2 linked regions of the Drosophila melanogaster genome follow. The protein of the gene in region 1 purifies or fractionates together with the protein of each later gene. This does not show direct contact. Each region holds a gene or a part of one and is shown on either strand. Other genes may lie near its edges.

Evidence for each region.
Region 2: the proteins of Rif1 (region 1) and Pp1-87B purify together in Drosophila melanogaster (affinity purification with western blotting; 2 studies listed by BioGRID). This does not show direct contact.

Annotation. Positions count from the first base shown.
Region 1 is NT_033778.4:15,863,671-15,871,076, reverse strand, and holds Rif1 (Rap1 interacting factor 1), read left to right. Parts: upstream 1-1,929; 5' UTR 1,930-2,070; coding exon 2,071-2,172; intron 2,173-2,257; coding exon 2,258-4,739; intron 4,740-4,800; coding exon 4,801-5,087; intron 5,088-5,175; coding exon 5,176-6,555; 3' UTR 6,556-6,768; downstream 6,769-7,406. UniProt on the Drosophila melanogaster protein: Regulates the timing of initiation of DNA replication. Functions in copy number control by promoting the underreplication of DNA, which is found in many late replicating euchromatic regions of salivary gland polytene chromosomes.
Region 2 is NT_033777.3:12,422,824-12,427,540, reverse strand, and holds Pp1-87B (protein phosphatase 1 at 87B), read left to right. Parts: upstream 1-1,623; 5' UTR 1,624-1,852; coding exon 1,853-2,761; 3' UTR 2,762-2,930; intron 2,931-3,024; 3' UTR 3,025-3,920; downstream 3,921-4,717. Other genes in the region: NANS (N-acetylneuraminic acid synthase), read right to left, coding at 1-487, 594-929; CG17202 (uncharacterized protein), read right to left, coding at 4,075-4,608, 4,671-4,682. UniProt on the Drosophila melanogaster protein: Is essential for the regulation of mitotic chromosomal segregation as well as regulation of chromatin condensation during interphase.

The sequences.
Region 1 (7,406 bases):
ATGTATTCTATATATTCGCATATATCAATTTACTAGTGCAAGCTACCCAGGCGATGTACATAATAACAGAACCATAATACGGCGATCGATCGATCCGGATATCTATGTATTTATGTGAGACGCAACTGTAGCCCCTGCCACACTCCGCCGGAAATTAGCTGACCCACGTCACTTCTTCCCCGTTCCTTCTTTCGCACGTTGTGTGCCCTATTTTCCCCTCCCATGTAGGACATTCTCAATCACATCAGCGTATACAAGCTTTAAGCAAGTCATTGCATGTGCCACGCCCCCTCGAACTGAACTGAACTCAACGCCCAACCCGCCCAGCATGAGTCCCGCAGCAAATACATTCCCTCCATCCCCCCACCATCCGTCATCCGCCAGAGGAACCAGTCGAGGAGCTCGGAAATTGAACGTAGAACAGATTCCTTTTGTAGATAGAAAACGAAACAGTTGTTGGGAGATGGTAACCAGACGAATGTCGAATGACAAACGATAAATAATGATAAACTAAACTAAAGTTCTAAACAAAACAAAACACAGTAAAATCGCACAGAAGCGCACGCATTACAAAATACAAAAACCTGCAACGGTCGTTTTAAACGCTCCGTTCAGTTGTCTCAAAGAAACGAGTAAACGATAATAAGTGCATAACGAAAACCTTCTTTAGTCTAAGTTGCTCAAAGGATAAAGTATTTTGATAGAACCGGAAAGGATCGAGAAACAAACCAATAAACCACAAAGAATCGAATTGAATCGTAACGAAACAAAGGCCCCAAACGTGTAACGAATTTCCAACAAATTGTTGCAAGTGTTTTCCTAGAATTAGTCCTAATTAAACTAAATGTGTGCAAATCGAAGCGTAACTAATATTACAATTAATCTAAACTAATTGAGGAAACATAAACCTAAACATAAATCGGATAACAACATCTAAGCTGGGTAGTCGCATGTAAATCTCTAACAATTAACAATTACCGACCTAAGTTAGACCTAAAAATCGAAACAAAATCGAATCGCATTTAAAGAAATCTACATAATAATAATAATTTATACTAATCTATATATACTTATATGTATGCTGTATGTATGTATGACCCTATATGTATATGTAAAATGTTTTTGACTATTTTTCACTATTTATATTCATATATATTATATATGCATATACGATACATGTGTAATAGCCCCTTTTGGTCATTTTAGTTGTCTTTTATATATATTTAATACGTGTATTATTTTTATTAATTATTCAAGTATAACTATGCGCACCAATTAAACGCATACCTTATGTATAACCTATTGACAAATATATATATATATATTATGTGTAATAGCTGTTGCTAAACCAAGTTTAATTATCAGTTTTTTATTTAACCTTTTTCCGGCGAAGCTTTCGACGGTTCACAGCCGCAAAATTGTGTTCAGCTAATTAATTAGGAAGAGAACGTGTCCCGAGCAATAATGGGGGAAATGACAATTATAATATTCATTTCTGTGTGTAACAATTATTTCCTAATAAAATTGACAAAGAAAAATGTTTAAAATTAAACGAGTTTGTGTTTTGCAACTATGTCGATCCATAAAAGGTGCAGATTCTGTATGATTTGCAATTCCACGTTTTAAATACTTTTTAGCTTGTAATTGGGGAGTTTAAAATGTTTAAAAATCCAATTGAGTCCCGCCAGTTACAAAGTTATTTTACGGAAATCAGTTGAGGACGGCGGTTCTTGAGCTCTACAATATCGAGTAAAAAGCAATAAACGAGTAAAAGCTAAAATAATAATAACGGTAGTCCTTTGTGATGTTGCTAGGATTTTAAATTTAAATTATTTTTAACTTCCGGCGTTGCACAAGTCTGGCAACTCTGAGTTTCACAATTTTGGTATTTTCATACTGTCGGCGATAACTTGTCGATGACATATCGACCTGCTTTTGCCACCTCTAGCCATAGCAATTCGCGCGCTTTTTTCTTCGACAGTCTTTAAAACTGCGGGAAAATAACTTGTGGCGTTCGCAGGCGGAAGAAAATAATATAATTAAATAAGCGTATCATCCAGCGTACGAGCCATGGATGTAGACTTCGGCGCGCAGGCGGGGCAGTCCTACCGCACGGTGCAGCTTTCCGCGAAAGAAGTGCTCGCTGCTGGCCGCCGTCAGCATTATTGCAACGTAAGTAGGGCACCCAATTGCAGCGCCAAGTATGTATCTCACTATAGCTCCGGCCCCCCACCTATATTTCCATGTGCACCACCAGATGATCGACTTGTTGGCCAGCAGCTGCAAAAGCTCCGGTTTGATAGCCACTTCCTTTACGGATGACGAACTGGTGGAGTTCTGGCTGGGAGATATCCTGCCGCTTATGTTCGATGCGGACCGAAAGATCCAGGACTGTGCCGTGGCAGCTCTTGCGGAGGCACTGGTGGCTCTTGACGTGTCCGTTATCCACTCGGCCAAGTGCTGGCCTCAGATCCGCAGTGAATTTGTCGACAAATACACCATCATCATCGGGGAGATGCGCGATGCTAAGAACTCCAACTGGCACAAAATATGGACGCTGCTGGTACAAATCATGGACGAGGATTTGCTCAGGGGCTGTGTATATATCAACAAATTCTTGGCTCTGGTTGAATTGGGCTTCCGCAACCCGGATAATGGTGTGCGGTCGGAGGCATTTCTTTGCTGGCGCGTGCTCATCAAGATCTTTGCCGCCTACGACGAACTGACATCCGCGAAGAGGCTTCGTTTGCTGCTGATCCCCCTGCGCACTTCACAATCGCGATCCTCGCACGTGAGTGGCATCAAGTTGCGAGTGTGGTGGTATCTGCTCAGCTGCCTGGACCACGAGTTACCCAAGTCTTTTGACAGCGCCGTGGAGCACTTTTTGGCTTTTATGCTAGGCGGAGGTCCACGAAATCTGGCTACGGGTCTGGCGCACAACTACCAGACGGCTCGGGAGTTGGCCCTGCCCTGCCTTGTGGCCCTTTGGGGCGTGGAGTCCAGTGAACCGTTGCAGCGTCTAATGAGAGAGCTACGCTTGGAGACCTTGGTCCAGCCCTCGCCTCTGATGAGCGTAGAGGTATTCCAACAGCATTGGAAACCTCTTTTGGCCGCTGCCGTTTCCGGTTTAAAGTTGCTTACCGAGAACGATGCCACAGAAGCGGAACAACTCCTGCTGCAGTTGCTCGTGCGGAATCTGTGCCTTGCCATGTTTCGGTTGGCAGTTGCTCCCTTCAATGTGGCGTGCTGCAGTGAAATCGAGAAAATCCTGCAGGCTGAAGATAACTCCGGTGGCCGAGTTGTACGCGCTCTTTTCAATACCATAGCCGCAGATAACTTGGTAATGGAGCGTGTGTCTGGAAGCGACCATCTTGATGTTCTGGAGGCCTACTTGAAACTTGTACTGAAATCCAAGACAGAAGTTCCGGCAGCAATTCTGCAGCGAAGTATCGCATGCATTTTCGCAGTCGATCGTATCGAGGCGAACAATCAGAACGAGTTCCGGATGCTGGGCTCCTTCGCTGAGCTTCTGATGCAGGCCAACGACGAAGAGGACTTTGAGGGATTCGCATTCAAGCTGCAGGTGTGGCGACAGGTGTCGCAGGCGTTGTCCAACTATCTGCGAAACAATGCGCTTGAATACCGTGTGGCACACAACGCTTCCCTTTTGGACACTTGGCTTTTATGGCCACTTCAGACACTGGCTGCCTTTGCGGGACGGCGTGCTAGCAACTCCTTCGATGCCTCTTTTTGCGATCAATGGCGCCAACTGGTAAACGCAGGCCAAAACGCGCCGGGGAGGAAGAAGTTCTTGACGGACCTGAAAGCCACACTTACAGACCTCCTAAAGAGCAAGGATGAACCGCTCTTTGCAGAGCTCTTCGATGCTTATGTGACCTCCTTAATCAAGTTTGGACTCTGTAAGGAGGCACCTTTGTATAAGGACGTTTTTGGGCTACTTCAAACCATTTTCGAGCAGCCCTCCTCCCAGAAAACGCTCGAAGCCTGTTTAAACACCCTCCGCAACCTGGTGGTGGAGTTGCGGCAAAACGAACTAATGGTAGTGTTCGATTCATTGAAACCAACATTGTCTTCTGGCATCCAGTGCTGGAATAAGATGAAGTGCGAAGGCGGATTCTTGGAGGAGTGGAAGCGGGGAATTCAAGAAAAGTTTCGCAAGCTACCCATGAAGACGATGGCCAATCAGCTCAAAGAACTCTTTAAGGCAGATGATCTCTTCGTGATCATCCCATCAGTGTGGAGTCTGAATCCAGAGAAGCTGACGGATCGTCAAAAGGAGCGCTTCGCTGAAAAGTCGGACATTCCAGCTCTGTACAATGATATGTCGCAGTCTCAGGACTCGGCTTCCATTAAGCCCTGGACCCCTAAGAAGGTGGTTATTGCAAAGAGCAAACAGGGTGAGCTGGCCTTAACCGGCAAGGATGACAACGGCGAGGTGATCGATATAACGGCCAGCGAGGAGTCTGAGAAGGAACCAGTGAGAGTTGACGTAGTTACACCCATCCGAAAGAAACCGGGGCGTAAGTCCCAAGCTCAAAAAGAACTCGAGGCCGCTGCCAGGGCTGCTTCTCTTGCCGAGGAGCCGCCAAAGCGTCAGACGCGAACACGGGCGGCTCAAAAAGAAACGGAACAGGTGGCTCAGCCACAGCCAGCGTTTGAACCACAGCTCAGATCGCCAAAGAAATTGCCACCGTCCCCGGTCGTTCAATCTACAGCAGGTACGTGAAACAAGTAACAGGTGAGCTAAGGATGTTAATCCCAACACTTGAATTTTTGCAGCTGCCGTTAAGCAGGCAAAGGTTGCAAAACCCACCCCCGTTGTGGTAATCGCGCAGAGCGAGGATCTTTTCCCGGAAGTCGCAGCTGAGCCAGAGCCTCAGCCAGAACCGGTTAAGAAACCCGACCCTGTTCCAGAAACAACACAACTGACCCCGCCTGATGTACCCTTGGAAGCTGTACCCTCTACCCAACTGCCTGGAAGCAGCGGAGATCCTGCCGCTTCTGCGGGGGCTGTGGCTGCCGGTGAGATGTCTCCAAAGAAATCAGGCACGCGAATATACAATTTGGTAAGTAAATCGCATTAGACTTGGTTAAAACGGTTACTTTATTACAATGTTTTTATGAACTTTTTTAATTTCCGCCTTCTTTTCGCAGAGCTCTCCACCTGATCGCAAGCAGACAAACAACTCCTCGAGTCCAACATTGCGGCCCAAGCCCACGGGACATCTGACTGGACGCGGTGCTCAGTTGATCAATATGATTCGCAACAAGAAGCTGGACGCTGCTTCCGGCTCGCCGTATGCGTGCATGTCTACTTCGCGCCTGGTTCACCAAGTGACGCCGGCCCGTGCCCAGGATCGCGCCGAGCAGGTGTCCACTCCCACCAGCGAGCTAAACGAGCTGACGGGCACGGATCACACTTCCACACCGATTCAGGCACCTCCCTCGAAGGATCTATTGGTGTTTTCCAAACGACTGCCATCCCCATCGGCCAGTCCCTCCGTAAGCATCTTGAAGCGCAAGCTACGATGCGAAAGTCTCGATGATGTTACTCTGGACTCGCCGGCTCTAAAGCGTAAGCGAGTTAGTTTCCACGACCCACCGGTGTCCGTCACCAAGGAGTATCTACGCGATGCTGAGGAGACGCGCAGCAGTTTGAAGCCCAAACGCTGTCTGCTTATGGACAAGGTGGCCCAGACCACCGAGATGCGCCAGGCGTTGAGGAGACGTGGTCGGTTAGACAGCATAATCGAAATAGAGCGTTTCGCTAGCGAACAGACGGCCAGAACAGCGACGACGGACAAGAGCCTGGACAAATCCACTGGCGAAGCACCCGAGGAGGATGCTTTCACCAGCTTAAAGTGGAACGACACAGGCAACGCGCACAACATTAGCATATCCGAAGAACCCGTCAAGGCGATGGAAGTGGAGTCTGAACTCGAGACAGCCGGCCAGGATCTAGCCATCATGGATCCAGAAGCCGCTCTTGATCTGGCGGTGGCGCAATTACCGCTGGAGTCGGTTTTGCAGCGCTACTTTGACAAGAGTCCGCTGAAGAGCGCCGGCATGTTGGCTAAGTTTCTGTCCGCCCAAATGACGGCAAACGAAAAACTTAAGACCAACGTGCTAGAGACTCTGTCGGAGAACCACTCCAAGGATTTCCTGGACCACGCTGTGCGCGAGAATCTGTCGTCGGTGGTGTGCGACCGCCTGAACCCGACCTCTGTGCTGGAGTACGTATGCGCCAAGTCCAAGATCAGCGCAAGTTGCCGCAACGGGCTGCTGGCCCAGGTACCCGAAATTCTGAAAAGCGGCCCACGTTCCGATTCTGAGCGCCTGGCCTTCGTACAACAACTGATGGTGCAGTGCAGCCCCGGTGACGACCTGCTCCTCGATCTCATTGACCTTCTGATGCGTACGCGTCGGGAGCGGAACAACAGCACCTCCACTCACATCTCCAAGGGCGTCGTATCCGCCGTTGGAAGCCCTGACAACGTGGCCGAGACCGCGGCCGACTCCTCATCAAACTTATAGATTGGACCTGACTTGAAATTACGAATGAAATATTAAGCACTTGGCCATTGAACTCGATTAAGTATGGGAAGTTCGATTGTAACTAGTTGGTTCTAGATAGTTAAGTTTAAATTGCATTATGTTTAAGATTTATATTATGCCCGTTGGTGTATTATGTTTTGCTGCAAAAACTTGCTTCATATTCTTACAATAAATTTAATATTTTATTATTATAAAAAGTAGAAAGTCATCAATATATTAGATAATATATATATATTGGTGGGAGAACTTATTTATTTTTAAGTACATCGATCATAATTCCTATAGATAAAGGAAAACAGCAAAAGGAACGAATTTGATAAGAAAACCCAGACAATTATTTTAACTTGTTTTCGAATTAAAATTAGTGTATTTAACTCTGGGAGTTCATATACTCAAAAGTCCACACTGCAGACAATGTTACCTAAAATCGTAATCGATTGCCATATAATCTAGGGAAATCTTATCAGTACGTCAAAAGTGACGTGACAGATACGTTTCCCATCAGGCAGATAAATAATTAGTATGATTTGTGTTAACTTCGTGTTAGCTATTCAGCGAGTTCAATGGTACATTGATCAAATATTGTCAGGTAATCATGATGGAATTGAAACGACTATTCTGAGTGATAAAGTGGTGCTGAATAGGTGTAGGGCATTCCAAAGTCTTAGAGTTGCGCTTTTTAGGTGCTTGTGATTATGCTGGATACTTTTGGGGGTCAGGTAGTGGCACCTTCAGTGGAGGGCAAGCTCCACGTAGAAACCTCCACTGGTGCCGGCCCAACCCTATCTGGTTGATTTGTTGTTCTGGTCGCGGCAAAGTCAAATTACCCC
Region 2 (4,717 bases), on another chromosome or scaffold:
GAGGCATGGGAACTGAAGAGAGTTTGAAGTTGGTGATGGCTGTAGTCAGAGCTTTTAATTCTTGCGGCTCTAGGGAGCAGCGATGATCGGAGCCCTTCTGACTCTTGTCCAGCGTAAAGTGGCGCTCCACTATGCGTGCTCCCAGCAAGACGGCGGCCTGGCTAATGATCACTCCCAGCTCATGACCCGAGTACCCAATTGCCACATTGGGAAAGCGTGTCCTTAAGACGGATATCAACTGCAAGCTGCAATCTTTTGGGTCAGTTGGGTACGATGAAACGCAGTGCATTAGAGCGTAGTCCTCTTTTCCTGACTCCCGCATAGTTTGCACAATCCTCTCCACAGTTTGCATAGTCTGCATTCCGGTGGAGATCACCAGGGGCAAGTTCAAATTGGCGGCCTTTTTGAGAAGCGGAAAGTTGTTTGCGTCTCCGGAACCAATTTTGATGAAGGGAACATTTAGAGCAGAAAGGAACTCCAACGATCTCTGTTTAAAATAGCATATACACACATTAATAACTATTTAAGCAAGAAACAAGGGAAAAAAGGAATTGTTAGTAGTAGTAATTGGTTAACAATTAATTAATATCAACCTCATCCATGGCGGAAGCCGTAAAGTCCACATTTAACTCCTTGCAGTGGGCCTGCAGCTGGAGATACTGATCTTTGGAGAACTCCAGGTACTCCTTGTGCTCCCCGTACGTTTTTCCCCAGGCGTGATCACTGATATATTCGCGATCTAGAGCGGATCTCGTAAACTTTGCTGGCAAATCCGATTTTTGAAACTTGACGCAGTGGCAACCGGCTTTTTTGGCCTCCCATATCATTTTCTTCGCTGTTTCCACACAACCTTGGTGATTTTGGCCAATTTCCGCTATAATATAGACGGAATCAACTAATTTTCCGCTTATGATATCGTTTAACAGCATTTTGATTAAATTGAAACCCGCCTATTTAACAGTTAATTAAATGATTAGCGGGCGTAGGCAGGAAATGCATAGAGTATCGAATTATCGATAACAAGACATGAGCACATTTCATACAAAATTTTTACATAGTGTGATTGTTAATATATCTATCAATATATTATTTAGTTTTGTGAGAATTTAAGGGAAATTTGGCATTTTAAATCATAACTCATGTGGAAGTTATTCCAATAAGGAAAATGAATTAACCTATGTTCTGTAAACGAATATTCTTATTGGCTTATTTGAATTTCCAATGTATTTAAATATCCCCTTGTTACCGGTATATCGAATAGCCTCGCCAAATGCATCAGTCTCCCATCTCTTTTCCACAGTAAGTCATGCCAGGCGTGCCTGAGTGCAAGCGGGATGGCTAGTGTCCCCCTGATCAGGCTGCCACACCGCTGAAATAGAGTAACTGGACGCCATGCGTTTAATCGATTACTAACAGCAGTTTCGAGCCACTATAGGGTCGAGAAGACCCGTTTCGAATGAAAATATAAAAGTAGAGCTATTGCGGAACTCTTGCAATGGATTGGAAATGTCCTTAATGTAATAAGAGTAATATTACAGCAACTTCGTTATCGATTATGCACTATATTTGCATGTTATCGATTAGATAAGATGGCGTCTATTATCTGGCCATATCCGCGACTTCCGGCAGTGTGGCAACATCAGCTAGAAGCACACTCGCCATCCCGCCCGCACTCACGCAACAGCATACGAAGAAATTTTCATACTTGTTAGCTGTGAAAAGTATTTAGCAGAAATAGATTTCGGAAATTAAAGATTTCGAGGCTATTTCGGCGCTACCAACGATCGTTCGCGGTAACCTCGACACCCAACAGCAGCACTAGTGCACCAGATCCACACTTTCGCACGCAAACATGGGCGACGTGATGAATATCGACAGCATAATATCGCGACTTCTCGAGGTGCGTGGGGCACGGCCAGGTAAAAACGTACAGCTCTCGGAGGGCGAGATCCGGGGACTTTGCTTGAAGTCGCGCGAGATCTTCCTGTCGCAGCCCATTCTGCTCGAGCTAGAGGCACCGTTGAAGATCTGCGGCGACATCCATGGACAGTACTACGATCTGTTGCGTCTGTTCGAGTACGGCGGCTTTCCGCCGGAATCGAATTACCTGTTCCTCGGCGACTACGTCGATCGCGGCAAGCAATCGCTGGAGACGATCTGCCTGCTGCTCGCCTACAAGATCAAATACTCGGAGAATTTCTTCCTGCTGCGCGGCAACCACGAATGCGCCAGCATTAATCGCATATACGGATTCTACGACGAATGCAAGCGTCGCTACAGCATCAAGTTGTGGAAGACATTCACGGACTGCTTCAACTGCCTGCCAGTGGCGGCCATTGTCGACGAGAAGATCTTCTGCTGCCACGGTGGTCTCAGTCCCGATTTGACCTCCATGGAGCAGATCCGTCGCATTATGCGGCCAACCGATGTGCCCGACCAGGGACTGCTGTGCGATCTCCTGTGGTCCGATCCCGATAAGGATACCATGGGCTGGGGCGAAAACGACCGCGGCGTTAGCTTCACCTTCGGTGCCGAGGTGGTGGCCAAGTTTTTGCAGAAGCACGAGTTCGATCTCATCTGCCGAGCCCATCAAGTCGTCGAGGATGGGTACGAGTTCTTTGCCAAACGCATGCTGGTCACCCTGTTCTCGGCGCCCAACTACTGCGGCGAGTTCGACAATGCCGGCGCCATGATGTCCGTGGACGATACGCTGATGTGCTCGTTCCAAATCCTCAAGCCAGCCGACAAGCGTAAAAAGTAATATCACACAACTGCAGCACCACGAGCAGTCTTTTTCTATCTAAAACAGATCAATAAGAAATCCAAACAAGATACAAAAGATAAACACGACAAAAACAACCACAAACCCAACCACACAATCAACCAGAAATAAAATCCTTTGAAACAACACATCAAATGATGCATGAAACGTAAGTATGGGCTGCTGACGCAGAGTAACAAACTAGTGAATCACACTCTCACCCCAACCTTATCTCTGTTTTTGGTCACTTTTATCATCGGCAGCCGGGGCGAGTCGAAATCCACAAGAAATTGCACCATTAATTTGGTATGGAATAGCAGCGCCACGATCAAAGGACATCCCCAGAGACATCCCTTCCAGCAGATGACTGCAGTTTTCCCCTTCCACCCCACACCCATTGAGATTTAAATCGCAATTACAAACACATTGACAAATACCATGATTAAAAGCCACATATTTATTTGTAATAGCCCCCGTATATATATATATATATGTATATCTACCGACCGACCAACCATTCACCCACGCACACACATGTACACACATTTGAACACCAGCGCTTTTATAGGTTTTGTCCAAAATTTAAACACTAGGTTAATCAACTGACCGTTCGAGCAGAGCACCAAGCGCATAACCATGCAGATTAGATGGAAACGGAGCAGCAGAGGAGCGACTGGACGCCAGTCGGTCACAAAGCATACAGATGTGGGGGCCCTGTAGTGCTCGTTGGCCTTAAGAGTATAGAGCAAGTGAAAACAAAACAAGAAACAAAAAATCGAAGAGGGGAAATCGTTGAACCGAGGAGGTGGAGGCGAATGCTTGCCAAGAAGTATAAAGAGGAATTATAAGCACTAAGTTTCGACCTTGAATCAGTTTTTTTTTTGTTCGTCCACAATGCAGTCCGACCGAATGGACCAGCCAGCCAGCCAGCCAGAGAAATATCTGCAAGAAAATCAGCGAAATATATTAGTTTGTCCCTAAAACTCCTTACCATTCATCAGCTATTCAAACGTCCGCTTCCCGTCATTTTAAGGATGTGTTTTTTAAAAATTAACTATTATTAATATGTATTATCAATAATCCTTTGTATTAATAAACAAATGATATAAAACGTGTATGAATTATGAAACTGATTTCAATAAACACATTTGAAAAATCCATAATACGCTGCATGCGCTCATGCTTTATTTCGCTTTATTTACATGTAAATTCCGGAAAATACTTAACATTTCTTCTAAATGAATGCGTTCTAAATGGGATGTTTTTGTTTTTACGTTTGGTGTGTGCTGGCACGTGCTGCTGTCATCTGAGATCTACTCACTGGAGCCACTGGCTTCAGCTTGGACGGTTGGGCTTGGCTGTGCGGCTTCATCGGTGGTCACCACCGAGTTCCCCTCAATCTGGCAGGCCTCCACAGCGGCAGTTATCTCCGCAACGTCCGCCGAACTTTCGTTAGGTTTCTCCAGCTCAGTCTCGCCGTTCTCCTGCTGCTGCTGCTGCTGCTGCTGCTCCGCCGCCTCAGTGGACTCGGCCACGGTCTGTGGCGCCTCCGTTGCGACCACTACTTCACTTGAAGCCACTGGCTGATGACCCTGGAGCACGTCGGGATTGATGCCGTTGATGATGGCGCGCAGACGCTGGATCTCCTCGTTGGCCAGCTGCAGATCCTGCTGCAGGCGCTCGTACTTGTCGTGCTGGTGGCGCACCACGCCGATGTGGTTACGGATGTAGTCCATGGGATTCTCGGGCCGCTCCTTGATCACGCGTATGAAGAGCTTGGTCAGCGAGTCCAGGACGCTGCCGCGCTCTAGATAGCGCCGGATCTCGTCGCGCTTCGGGTCAATGGGCTGTGTCATTGCGGGAGACTCTTGTTTAGCCAATGGCAATCAGTTTTTGGACAAAAGCTCACCTTAAAGGACATCTTTGCAAAATGGAGATGTGCGGTGTGGCTGTGGG